Linked DNA regions of Saccharomyces cerevisiae S288C. The protein of the gene in region 4 purifies or fractionates together with the protein of the main gene of each other region. This does not show direct contact. Each region holds a gene or a part of one and is shown on either strand. Other genes may lie near its edges.

Region 1 (2,516 bases), on a different chromosome or scaffold from region 4:
CAACCCTTAATCGAGGATAAGCAAGGTCCTAACATGTTAGAGATTGACCGAAAGGAACTAAGTAGAGATGATTTTGATATCAGGCAATTTACGAAGAAATACAATCTAACCGCTATTGGGGCACATATCTGGAGAAGCGAATGGGATGCCAAAGTCGCCGCCGTCAGAGAAAAATATGGCCTACCACCTGGAAGGGTTTTTAGCAGAGTTAGAAGGTGATCCTAAATAGTATGACATTATAGTATCCTGTACATATAAAATAACGTGTCATTGTTAATAAAGCTTGATGCAAATAATATAAAGTAAGAATCTGAAAAATTTTTGGAATGTGAATTTTGTTTACAATACGATACGTATGATATTAGTATGTTCTAGAATATATACATTTCATTTTTTTCCTTATTGTTTGTGCACTAACGAATGAAGAAAAAAATATGGAACATCTAGCGAACGAGAATCCATCATAACTTCGTCATTCAGTGCGAGCTAATGTGCATTTTTAGTATCCTATTTATGTTGAAGCTTCTATTTATGTTGAAGCTTCCTTCAGGGATTCAACGGCGTTAAGAATAACTCTTTCAAAATCTATATTAGGATCTTCCAAATTAAATGAGGCGTTCGCAGGCACATCTTTAGGAGTTACTACAGGGTGTAGCTTGGCGTATTCCTTCTTTGCCTCCTCTACCAGCTTCAATTTCTCCTCGTACTGTGCCTGCTCCTCTTTCTTCTTAGCATTACACTTCAAAATCATATCATTTCTAAAACCAAAAAATAGCCCCAAACCCAACGCAGAGTATCTCAAAACATTAACTGTCGACATCCTTTAACTCACTCAGCTAGTTCCTATATACGTTATGTTCCGATATAATACTTCCTTTTATCTAAAATTTCTGTGTGAAAAGTCAAAAAAACTAAAGAAAAATTTATACCCTTAAATAGATCTGATTGGCTCCGCGGACCAATTAGCGTGGAGATTCCGCGAATGATCGAATAATAAAGATATGTCTTAATTAAACCCATGGTCACCCAGCTTCGATTGAACGGTATGTATTCTTGAGTGCAATTCTTCTAAGTTCTTATTAAGTGTGACGATCTCCTCCAATCTACGCTGCTTCTTATAGTCCTGAATTGTGGACTCAATAAGGTAGCTTTGTTCCTTTAGGACCATCAATTCTTCTCTCAGCTCTTTCACTTCTTTTATGGTCAAGTTTTCGATCATTAGTTGCGATAATTTCTTTACCTCTGGTTCAGCTTTTTGCCCATCTTCATTCGTTTTATGGCCCTCTGGGTTCAAAATTGCCGGAAGCGACTTCAACGGTAGGATTTTTTCGTTTATGTATGCAGCGGAAGCTATCTTGATCGAATTTTGAAGTTGTCTCTCTAGATGACTTTGAGGTTCTACACTTAAGAGCTGTCTTGTTAGTGTATTATACAAGTTAAAAGAATTGAGTAATTTATGTCTTAATCGAGCGAGATCATTCAGATTCTTTGGATCAAGTGTATTTTCAGAATCCTTGGCAGTCTCCACCTTCAGGCTATTCAATGAGTCTTCAAAAATGGGCAGGAGACTATCAATTACTTTGGATATATTTTGCATGCTATCATATTTAGCAAATATTCCACTTAGCGGCATTCTAACGTCCTTGTTAAATTTCCTGCCAATAAATAGCATATCGATACAGTGCGAGCACAATCTTATGGATATAGGAATATGAAGTAAATCATCCTTCTGTATATTGTATTCGAATGGCAGATCTGACGCTGCAGACATTAAATAACCTATGCTTATTTCGTTTGAGCAGTTCCTGTTTGCATCATCACAAACAACCATACCACATAATCTGCAGTGATGCTTCCTTAGTAATAGCCCAAATGGTTCGGAACATATGTTACAAAAGAGTACACTTCTATCATCTCTCCATGGAGTAACTGTACGTTCTAACTTGGACATTTCACTATTCATCTTCAAATTATGAATAATGGATCTAGAATATGTGTTATAGAGTGTAATCAGACCATCAACTAGACGGACAAACCGATTTTCTAATTGTAATAGCCTTAAGTTTTTGTCCTCTCTTTTTATATTTCGTACCTTAAAGAATTCTGGTGTTAAATCTATTACTTCGCCATAATCGTTATAGCCAGGTTTTGTGACGAAACAATCATGGCAGCAATTGTACCATTTCCCGTTTCTGGGGTCATACTGTGCGGAAAGATTAAGTTTAATCATATTAGGAAGATGCCTTCTGCAATACAGTTTACCACATTTCCTACAATTAATGGCGCCAATATTGTTATTCAAAGTCCTTCCACATGTGTGACAGCAGCTCTTCCCTTTTTTGAATTTTTCCCAATGGCTTCTTTTCAACTTTTGCGCACTGCTATCAACAGATCTGGCCTTTTTTTGTTTACCATTGACTAAACGACTGTCATTGGAACCGAGTGAATCTTCATTATCGTTAAACCCATGCTCAACATCTAAATGTGCATTTAGTGCTTGTAAGTTATCAAACTTC
Region 2 (3,074 bases), on a different chromosome or scaffold from region 4:
ACTCCCATGTTACATGCAAAATTATTTGCTACCTCGAAGAAATATAGAGAAGATAATTGGTCTTCCTTAGACGGCTCTAGCGTAGATAGGCCGTTGGTTGTACAGTTCTGCGCTAATGACCCAGAGTATCTATTGGCGGCAGCTAAACTGGTGGAAGATAAATGCGATGCGGTAGATTTGAATTTGGGCTGTCCTCAAGGCATAGCTAAGAAAGGTCACTATGGGTCATTTTTGATGGAAGAATGGGACCTTATACACAATTTAATCAACACCTTGCACAAAAATTTGAAAGTTCCAGTTACAGCAAAAATACGTATATTTGACGACTGTGAAAAGAGTTTGAATTACGCCAAGATGGTGCTGGATGCTGGAGCTCAATTTTTAACCGTCCATGGGAGAGTAAGAGAGCAAAAAGGACAAAAAACTGGTTTAGCTAACTGGGAAACAATCAAATACCTAAGAGATAATTTACCTAAAGAAACCGTGTTTTTTGCTAACGGGAATATCTTATATCCTGAAGATATTTCACGTTGTATGGAACATATCGGTGCTGACGCAGTGATGAGTGCTGAGGGGAACTTATACAATCCTGGTGTTTTCAATGTAGGCCAAACTAAGAACAAGGAGAAGATATTTCCACGCGTAGATAAGATTATCAGAGAGTATTTCCAGATTGTCAAAGAATGCCAGGAATCTAAAGCCTCCAAGACAGCAATGAAATCACATTTTTTTAAGATTTTAAGGCCTTTCTTGCCGCATCATACTGATATTAGGTCAACACTTGCTACTATGAATGCAAAAGCCACGTGGGAAGAATGGGAGGAACAAGTAGTGAAGCCTGTCGAAAAAGTAGTGCAAGAAATATTTGAACAGCCAGATATCGCTATTAAGGATGAAATTACTATCGGCGAAAAGCAATCATGGGGTGGTTCATATAGAACTGTTCCATACTGGAGATGTCAACCATATTTTAGGCCTGTTAACGGTATCACAGGTGATAAAAGAGTTATGCAAGGCCTCATAGATGAAAGCGTGAACAAGAAACGTAAAGCTGACGTGCCATTAGAATCTGCTGATAAAAAGAAGGACGTGAAAGCTTAAAACCTGATAAAATCCATGTATATTTCTTTGCCTTTTCTATTCTTTTCTCTAAGTATAGTTTTTATGTATGTATATTAATTCAAACAGAAAATGTTCAACTCCGTCTCCATAAGAAAACTTCTTTCAATTTGAACACTTGTATATTCAATCAGAATTCGCCATAGAGAGCATGTCAGCCAATGTACAAGAAGCTGCAAATGCAGCTATAGAGCCGGCCAGTTTCGTTAAAGTCCCAATGCCTGAGCCACCAAGTAGTTTGCAACAATTGATCAATGATTGGCAATTAATCAAGCATAGAGAAGGTGGGTATTTTAAGGAAACAGATAGGTCTCCCTACACCATGGAAGTAGAAAAACCAGTAAATGGAGGCTCAGGTAATACTGAAATGGTAACAAGAAATCAATCTACGTTGATCTATTATCTACTAACCCCCGACAGCCCAATTGGGAAATTTCATAAGAATATTAACAGGATCATACATATCTTACAAAGAGGCAAGGGTCAATACGTTCTAGTATATCCTGATGGTCAAGTGAAGTCATTTAAAGTTGGTTTTGACTATAAGAATGGAGAAGTCTCGCAATGGGTTGTCCCCGGAGGTGTGTTTAAGGCAAGTTTCCTTCTGCCAAACGAAGAATTTGACAACGGTTTCTTGATTAGTGAAGTAGTGGTACCAGGTTTTGACTTTGAGGACCATACCTTCTTGAAGGGTGAAGATGAACTGAAACATCTTGTGGGACCTGAAAAGGCAGCTGAGTTAGCTTTTTTAGCTTGAACTTTTGTACTTAGTTATTATCAAAATAACCAATAAGAATTATTTTAGTCCTTTCGCACCGCGATTATTAATAAACTCAATATTTTTTTCCTATTTAATTCCATAAAGAAACAAAAAAAAAAGCAAGCAACTACAAAGGTCTACTTACCATGTTTAAACGTTCCATCATTCAACAGTCCCGCTTATTCTCCAATTCTGCTTCTAGACTAGGTAAAAAAGTGTTCTTTGATCCTGCGGTCAATGGAACCAAAATCGGCAGAATAGAATTTGAATTATATGATAATGTGGTTCCTAAAACTGCTGAAAATTTCAGAGCCTTATGTACCGGCGAAAAGGGCTGGGGCTATAAAGGTGTCCCTTTCCACAGAATCATCCCAGACTTCATGATCCAAGGTGGTGACACTGATTTGACTAACGGTTTTGGGGGCAAATCCATTTACGGTTCCAAGTTCGCTGACGAAAATTTTGTCAAAAAGCATGACAAGGCAGGTTTGTTATCTATGGCAAATGCTGGACCAAACACTAACGGTTCTCAATTCTTCATTACCACTGTGCCTTGTCCATGGTTGGATGGAAAACACGTTGTCTTTGGTGAGGTAACCAAAGGTATGGACATTGTCAAAGCAATCGAATCATACGGTACTGCTTCTGGTAAACCAAGAGCTGAAATCGTTATCGAAGAAGCTGGTGAGTTATGAAGGCTTATATGAAGCTAAGGTCTCTCATATTTCTAGCATATAAGGTATGCGTTATCTCTATGTCTACGAATTATATCTGTTTATAGTGTTTTATTTTATATAGACTCGCTGGCTCATAAAAAATCAACCAACTTTTATTCTGGTTTGCCTCAGTCGAAATGTTGTCCTTTACTATTGACTAGTGTTGAAGAATTTCCGGATCTTATATTTTCGACAATTGAGTTCCAACATACATTACAGAAAAAATACAAAAAAAAAATACAGAACTATCGTAAGATAATCTGCTTTTGATATAAATCATAAATCAGTGGAGCATGGGGATATATTCATTTTGGATCTTTGATAGGCATTGTAACTGTATATTTGATAGAGAATGGACATTGGCGTCCAATAGCGCAAGTGGTACAATAAACTCCAAACAGAATGAAGAAGATGCAAAACTTCTGTATGGTATGATATTTTCGTTACGCTCCATTACACAAAAGCTCTCCAAAGGGTCT
Region 3 (3,656 bases), on a different chromosome or scaffold from region 4:
CCAAAGATCCAAAGATTGGTTACTCCTCAAAGATTGCAAAGAAAGAGACACCAAAGAGCTTTGAAGGTCAGAAACGCTCAAGCTCAAAGAGAAGCTGCTGCCGAATACGCTCAATTGTTGGCTAAGAGATTGTCTGAAAGAAAGGCTGAGAAGGCTGAAATCAGAAAGAGAAGAGCTTCTTCTTTGAAGGCTTAAAGTTAGAAAGCAGTAAAAGATAAATTCTTTTGTTCAAAAACTCCTTTCTTATTCTGTATTTTGTGTATTTTTAAGCTTAAAATCAAATAACTTTATTTTTTATATAATTAACAAAAAGAAAAATAATCATATGTATTGTAAACGAGAGTCGGAATGTATCCTCAACTGAATATCCAAGCGAGTCCACAGTAGCTAATAGTCTGAAAAAAAAAGGAACCCTTGTCCTTGAACAGAAATGACAAAATTACTACGTATTTCAGGATGCTATATAAGATTGTTTACAAGAGTACAAAAGTCCAGTATAGCAACAGCAGATTGGACGTCTAGTTTCGTTGCTTCATCTCATAGTAACCAATTCTTCTGCGCTAGTCGGATGAATAGCAACACAATTATCGAAATCAGCCTTAGTGGCACCCATCTTTATAGCAACACCGAACCCTTGCAAGATTTCTGCAGAGGAATCACCAACAATGTGCAGACCGACAACCTTTTCATTTGGTCCCGCACAAACAATTTTATATCTTGTGGGTGATTTCTCACTCAACATAGCATAGTACATGGCGGTAAATTTGGAATTGTAGACCTTTATATTCTCCTTACCGTACTTTTCAATGGCTTCCTTCTCAGAAATACCAATGGAACCGGCTTCAGGATGTGAGAAAATTACGCTGGGGACGTTCTCGTAATCTAGTTTGTCATTACGGAATTTCTCTGGACCAAACAGTCTATTAGACAGCTTTCTGCCCGCTGCAATAGCGACAGGTGTCAATTCAACTTTTCCAACAACGTCACCTAGAGAATAAATGTTTGGAACATTGGTGTTCTGATATTCATCAGCAATTATTTGGTCATGAGAGTTCAGCTTTATACCTACATTTTCTGAACCCATACCTAGATGGGATTTACGTCCAATTGTCCAAATTAATTCGTCAACGTCATCGATGGACTTTGAGTCATTCATATGTATTTTCAGTTTGTCAGTTTCTACATTTTTCTCCACCTTAACAATTTTGGATAGTTTATGAACGTTGATGCCTTCCTTTACGTAATGGTCAGTAATAGTGTTCTGGATGCATTCATCAAATTTTCTCAAGACAGTTTCACCTCTAATTACCAAGTGCGTTTCGGATCCCAGCCCATGGAACACACCTGCTAGCTCAATACCAATATAACCAGCGCCAACAACAACAACTTTCTTAGGTTGTTCTTCCAATCTAAAGAACCCATCAGAATCAGTACCTAATTCGAAACCTGGAATGTTTTCGGGGAAAATAGCCTTTCCACCGGTCGCAACTAAAATATGGTTAGCGGAGTAAACTTCAGTAGTATTATCCCTTTTCTGAACTTCAACATTACCGTCCTTATTGAATCTAGCCCATCCAAATACAACATCCACTTTTTCTTTTTCTAAATTCTTCTGGTATATACCGTTCAACCTATGGACATAAGCATCCCTTTTCTGCTTAAATTCTGGCCAATTAAAAGTCAAATGCTCTTTATCTAATGGAAGATTCTGATATAATCCATATTCATTTGCATGGGATACTCTAGTAGCGAGGTCAGAAGCATACCACATGACTTTCTTCGGAACACAACCCACGTTAACACAGGTACCACCAAGAGCCTTAGCTTCAACTAGTAATGTCTTCGCACCATAAGATGCAGCTCTTCTTGCGGAAGCAACACCCCCTGAGCCACCCCCGATGACGAGGTAATCGTAATGCTTGGTGTTCGTGGACATAGTTCTTATCTGTAGACTTCTAAATGTTTGTTTGGTTGCAGAAAGCATAAAGTTCTGTAAACTAATATGTAAATAGATATATATACATATGAAGGAAAGCAGCAAAATATACTGAGAGTGAGAAGCGCATGAGAAAAACCAGAAGTGTTTCTTATACTTTTTTAGACTGATTTTAATAGTAGATTCCAAATGGAAAGCTCCGAAATCCTCGAAAAATTGACAAGGGTCGTGCTTACTAAGTGACGTCAAAAAATATCAGGCATAGTGAAAACCAACGTGAAGAAGCAAAAGCAGCAAAGCGCCGTGCAAATGAATTAAACTATCTATTGAGACTCCTACATGAAATGCTTGCCAATTATGTACGTATAAAACCAACAATTTTATGCTAAACGCGTAAAATCTAGAGCCGAGTTTGATTCTTCCACGCTTTCAATGCTGTTATACGGAGAAACTGTCGTCTTTTCCGTACCTGACTCTGAAAATAATGAAGATTTACGGGCAGCATGCAGCATCTTTTTAGAATACTCATGCAATGTGCATAAAAGGCATAGAATTGACCAACAAACGCAAACACCGCCGTATATGGTTCCTAGGACTCTAAATGCATATAAGGGAACGTACTGGTTATACTGCACATATAACTCTTCGTTTCCTAAAGACATAGTACCCATCGGGAAAGTCATCCCCCAAAAACCTTTGTGGAAGGTATAAACTCTCTTCACTTTTCCTGTCTCGTTTTCAATCTCTTTTTTATTGTAGTACGACAGGATTGAAACGACAGAAATCACGGTGAAAAAATAGCCCATAGCGAGCAATGCCATAGCAGAAACCATGCCTAGAATTTTGAAACACCATGGAACTGCAATAGTCAATATCTCTTGTTCTCTTGTAATGTTATCTGTTGGGTAATATTTGCCCGCATATTTTTTTATATTATCTGTAAGCAATAAGACTCCAAAACTTCCTTGGCCCATCGGGCCCAAAAGCAGGAATAAGGTGAAAACCTGTGTCATTGGTGGTATCTTATTAATATAAAGACTCCAGAAGTATATCGCAATCAGTATGAAGACGAAGATAATGGCATGCAGCCACGTTAAGGCACATATGACCAACGTTATCAGTTGAATGTTTCTATTAAACGCATGGAAGAATATTTCTGACATTGTGAATGTTCCACAACTTGAAGCGACGACAACCAGCGGAATGATATCCAGTAGCAATACACTTTTCATGTTTTCGGATGCCATTTTGATATTATATGAAGGATAATTCCCAATCCCTTCCAAAGGGTAATAGTCATGCCAGATGAGAAACGAGATACCCCACGCTATTACTAGACAGACTGCGAGATCATACCACCACAAGACGTAAACAAATATCATCAAATTTCTGGCATTAGTGGGGCTCTTCGTCGTGTTCGCTTTCGAGAGTGCTCCTAAGAAATTTATAATTGTAACTAACCCCATGGGATAAGTACCCCAAAATAAATTGTGCTTCATATTTCTGAAAAAGTCATTAAAATATTCTCTGAAGCTTTTCTCCTTAATATAGACAATCAAATGTAATATTTGTAGTGCCTGCACAGCAATGAAAATAAGGCAAGCGATAGCAAACATGATGTAGGAGCATATTCTTAGCCACCTTGCAGGATATGGGAAGCTATATAGAATATTCGATGAAATGCCGACACCCATGACCATCATAAACATGAAGGGGTCAA
Region 4 (2,924 bases):
GTTATTGATGTTGCAAGGTCATAGGAATTCAGTTATATCTGTGGCTGTGGCAAACGGGTCTCCGCTGGGTCCAGAATATAACGTTTTTGCTACTGGTAGCGGTGATTGTAAAGCAAGGATTTGGAAGTATAAAAAAATAGCGCCAAATTAAGAACAGAACACAAAAGGAACACTTTACAAATGTAACTAACTAAACTATTCTTCAATTCATTGTCATTATATCTTTCTCTCTATTCTTTTTTATCTACTTATTTGTTATGTTATGATCCAGGTACGCTTTAAAACAAACAGTTACTTTCCTCACCATTCATCCCTTCCCCTCCTTTTCCTGTGTTTCTGAATATTGCGGTTCATTATTCTTTGATATGAATTTATTTGTGTATTGTATAAGCTTACTTTCCTTTTATATGTATATGTATATATATATATATATATACTATCTTTTTTCTTATATTTAAAACTAAAAAAAAAAAAACTACATGTGCTCATGAATATAAAATTTATAGATCTTTGATTCCCTTCTCTAAAGCAGTAGGGTTAGCTCCAATGATCTTGCCGATGAGTTGGCCATCCTTGCCAAGAACAAAGGTGGGCATAGCCGTCACTTCACACTCTTTGGCAATATCTGGTGATTCGTCCACGTCGCACTTGACAAATCTTACATCTGGATAAGCCTGAATTAATTTCGTTAAGTGTGGTTGCATCATCTTACAGGGGCCACACCAAGTAGCATAAAAATCGATGACTAGTTTATCATTTTGCTTGATCAAATTCCTAAATTCTGTTAGGTTCGTCAATTTAGTAATACTGGTGTATGAGGACTGGAATCTTATGCTTTTTAGCGGTCTCACCGCCATCCTCATCACAGGCTTATAGAACAACATAACAGCTTTGGTTTCTCTATGTACTAACCAATCCTGCTTTCTTTGGTTAGGGGGCTAGCTCATTTTATATCTCATCGGGGCAATTTTTTCCATCACAGAATACTAGGCAACAAAATCTGCAGAAGCACAATCCACATTTGGAATTAAAAGATAGTGAAAAATGTACATGAACCCCAACCAGTAACTTAAACATAATATTTTGGGTCACTATATCTAGGGCGTTGTTCTTCTTTGTGATTTATGCAATATACGCATATATGTATATATATATAAATATATGTTTAAAAATGTCCATAGCCGCTATTTGATCATAATAAGCCATCTTCATACAAAGCCAACAATTGATCGTTCTCTGCTATATAAGCGTTGATATCTAGGGCAAACTTGTCCCAGTCTATCTGGGGAATGTCGTCGTTGCTAATCCATTTTTGCTTTTGAAATCCGTTCTCTACAGTGAAAATTTCTCGCAGTAAATCCCTATTCTCCGCCAATACATCAACAAATTCCTGGTAATTCTTGGTATTTTGAATTTTGTGGAAAAGAGAACACAGATTCTTGACAAAAGATTCTCTTTCGTTAATAAGCGTCTCTAGCTGTGTTCTTCGTTGTTGCAGTACGATGTAATCGAGATCTTGATGCAGGTCAGTTTTTTGAAACTTGGCCACAGCATCGTGCGTTCCCTTTGGGGTGATCATTCCAGTTTAAATAGACTGGTACACGCTAGTACTGATCTTGTAAGCGGATGAGCACTTTGTCTTAATCCTCCTTAACCATCGCTCATAAACCCCAGTTTTATAATCGGTGGCAAACATGTCATTTGGTACGGTATCATTTAGAGGAATCAATTGGTTGGGTATTAAAACTGACACATAATTACTGTTATTGGTAAATTTATAATTTATCCATTTGGATATATTCTGAGATCAATGTGGATTTTTCCTCTCAAACCGAGCATCAAAAAGACTCAGGTTTACACAGGAATCGTTAAACGCAGTCGTATCATTACTGCCTGTAGCCATGTCATCTGTGTACTTGGTATTATAGTTGGAGATGAAGTGGTACGGCTCCATGGAAAATGTGCAGACATATTTATGATCTTTCTTGTCATAAATGAGCCATTTCTGTTCGTTTTCGTGCGCTATTTCAACTATGCCGATTCCTAAATTTAAACTAAACGATTCTTCTTGGTCTGCATCTTCTTCTTCCCCGTAGTCGCCACTATGAAGTTTTGTTTCCTTAACGAAAGAGGACACTTGGAATGGTGGTAAGTTCAGCAATTTCTTCGGTAGTTCGACCTTACCGCTTGTGTGGAATGCTGGGGCATCAATTGTGGATGAATAGATGGCGAATGATTTCAATGAAGACAAAATTTCGTACAAGAACAGCTTCAATCTTAAATTAAATGATATTTTATCAAACAGCTTGCATATGCTATCAATGAATGGACTTGTGGGTTTATCAGCTGATAAATCAGCGATGATGCGTTGGAAAATGGAATCCTGATGAAAGCTAAAAATTTTCAAGACGGCATCTATTTGGATTTCTCTCTTAGATAAATTTCCTTCGTTCAGTTCACTTAATTGTCTTATGATCTTTATTAGTAAATGATAGTTCTCCATGGAAATAACTATCATACCAGAAGTTTCTCTTTGAAACCTCATCGATAATGACGTTATAATCTCGATCACCACAACGATGTAATTATCATCTATCTTTTGGTTGTTGTTTTGCAAACAAGAAGTGCAGAAATCTTTCTCCACTATTTGGGTTATCATCTCAATGGTCTGCATATCCTTCAGTTGGTCAAATATTTGTGAACATAAATCATTAGAATTAGTTATTTCGATAATTTGGAATATGAAGTTCTTCAAGTCTTCCATTGCCATTGCTGGCTCATTATTCTCCATGATTTTTTTGATGCAGAAACAGGTAAACGCTTGGAAAACCCAAAGATTGGCAAAGTCCATCATAACGTAATATTCTACATGATCAATTTCGTCGACTGTGTGATCATCATCGTCACTTTTATCATCGTTGGTT

Evidence for each region.
Region 1: the proteins of TRX3 (region 4) and TIM11 fractionate together in Saccharomyces cerevisiae (co-fractionation; one large-scale study listed by BioGRID). This does not show direct contact.
Region 2: the proteins of TRX3 (region 4) and CPR3 fractionate together in Saccharomyces cerevisiae (co-fractionation; one large-scale study listed by BioGRID). This does not show direct contact.
Region 3: the proteins of TRX3 (region 4) and GLR1 fractionate together in Saccharomyces cerevisiae (co-fractionation; one large-scale study listed by BioGRID). This does not show direct contact.

Annotation. Positions count from the first base shown.
Region 1 is NC_001136.10:1,111,474-1,113,989, forward strand, and holds TIM11 (F1F0 ATP synthase subunit e), read right to left. Parts: upstream 821-2,516; coding exon 530-820; downstream 1-529. Other genes in the region: mitochondrial 54S ribosomal protein mL38 MRPL35, read left to right, coding at 1-219; PEP7 (phosphatidylinositol-3-phosphate binding protein), read right to left, coding at 1,007-2,516. UniProt on the Saccharomyces cerevisiae protein: Mitochondrial membrane ATP synthase (F(1)F(0) ATP synthase or Complex V) produces ATP from ADP in the presence of a proton gradient across the membrane which is generated by electron transport complexes of the respiratory chain.
Region 2 is NC_001145.3:108,977-112,050, forward strand, and holds CPR3 (peptidylprolyl isomerase CPR3), read left to right. Parts: upstream 1-2,025; coding exon 2,026-2,574; downstream 2,575-3,074. Other genes in the region: DUS1 (tRNA dihydrouridine synthase), read left to right, coding at 1-1,101; CFF1 (Cff1p), read left to right, coding at 1,271-1,876; TRAPP subunit BET5, read left to right, coding at 2,889-3,074. UniProt on the Saccharomyces cerevisiae protein: PPIases accelerate the folding of proteins. It catalyzes the cis-trans isomerization of proline imidic peptide bonds in oligopeptides. This isozyme is required for growth on lactate at high temperature.
Region 3 is NC_001148.4:373,830-377,485, reverse strand, and holds GLR1 (glutathione-disulfide reductase GLR1), read right to left. Parts: upstream 1,985-3,656; coding exon 533-1,984; downstream 1-532. Other genes in the region: 40S ribosomal protein eS6 RPS6A, read left to right, coding at 1-195; SSU1 (Ssu1p), read right to left, coding at 2,317-3,656. UniProt on the Saccharomyces cerevisiae protein: Catalyzes the reduction of glutathione disulfide (GSSG) to reduced glutathione (GSH). Constitutes the major mechanism to maintain a high GSH:GSSG ratio in the cytosol.
Region 4 is NC_001135.5:257,538-260,461, reverse strand, and holds TRX3 (Trx3p), read right to left. Parts: upstream 885-2,924; coding exon 501-884; downstream 1-500. Other genes in the region: chromatin-silencing transcriptional regulator TUP1, read left to right, coding at 1-151; AHC2 (Ahc2p), read right to left, coding at 1,193-1,579; SRB8 (Srb8p), read right to left, coding at 1,808-2,924.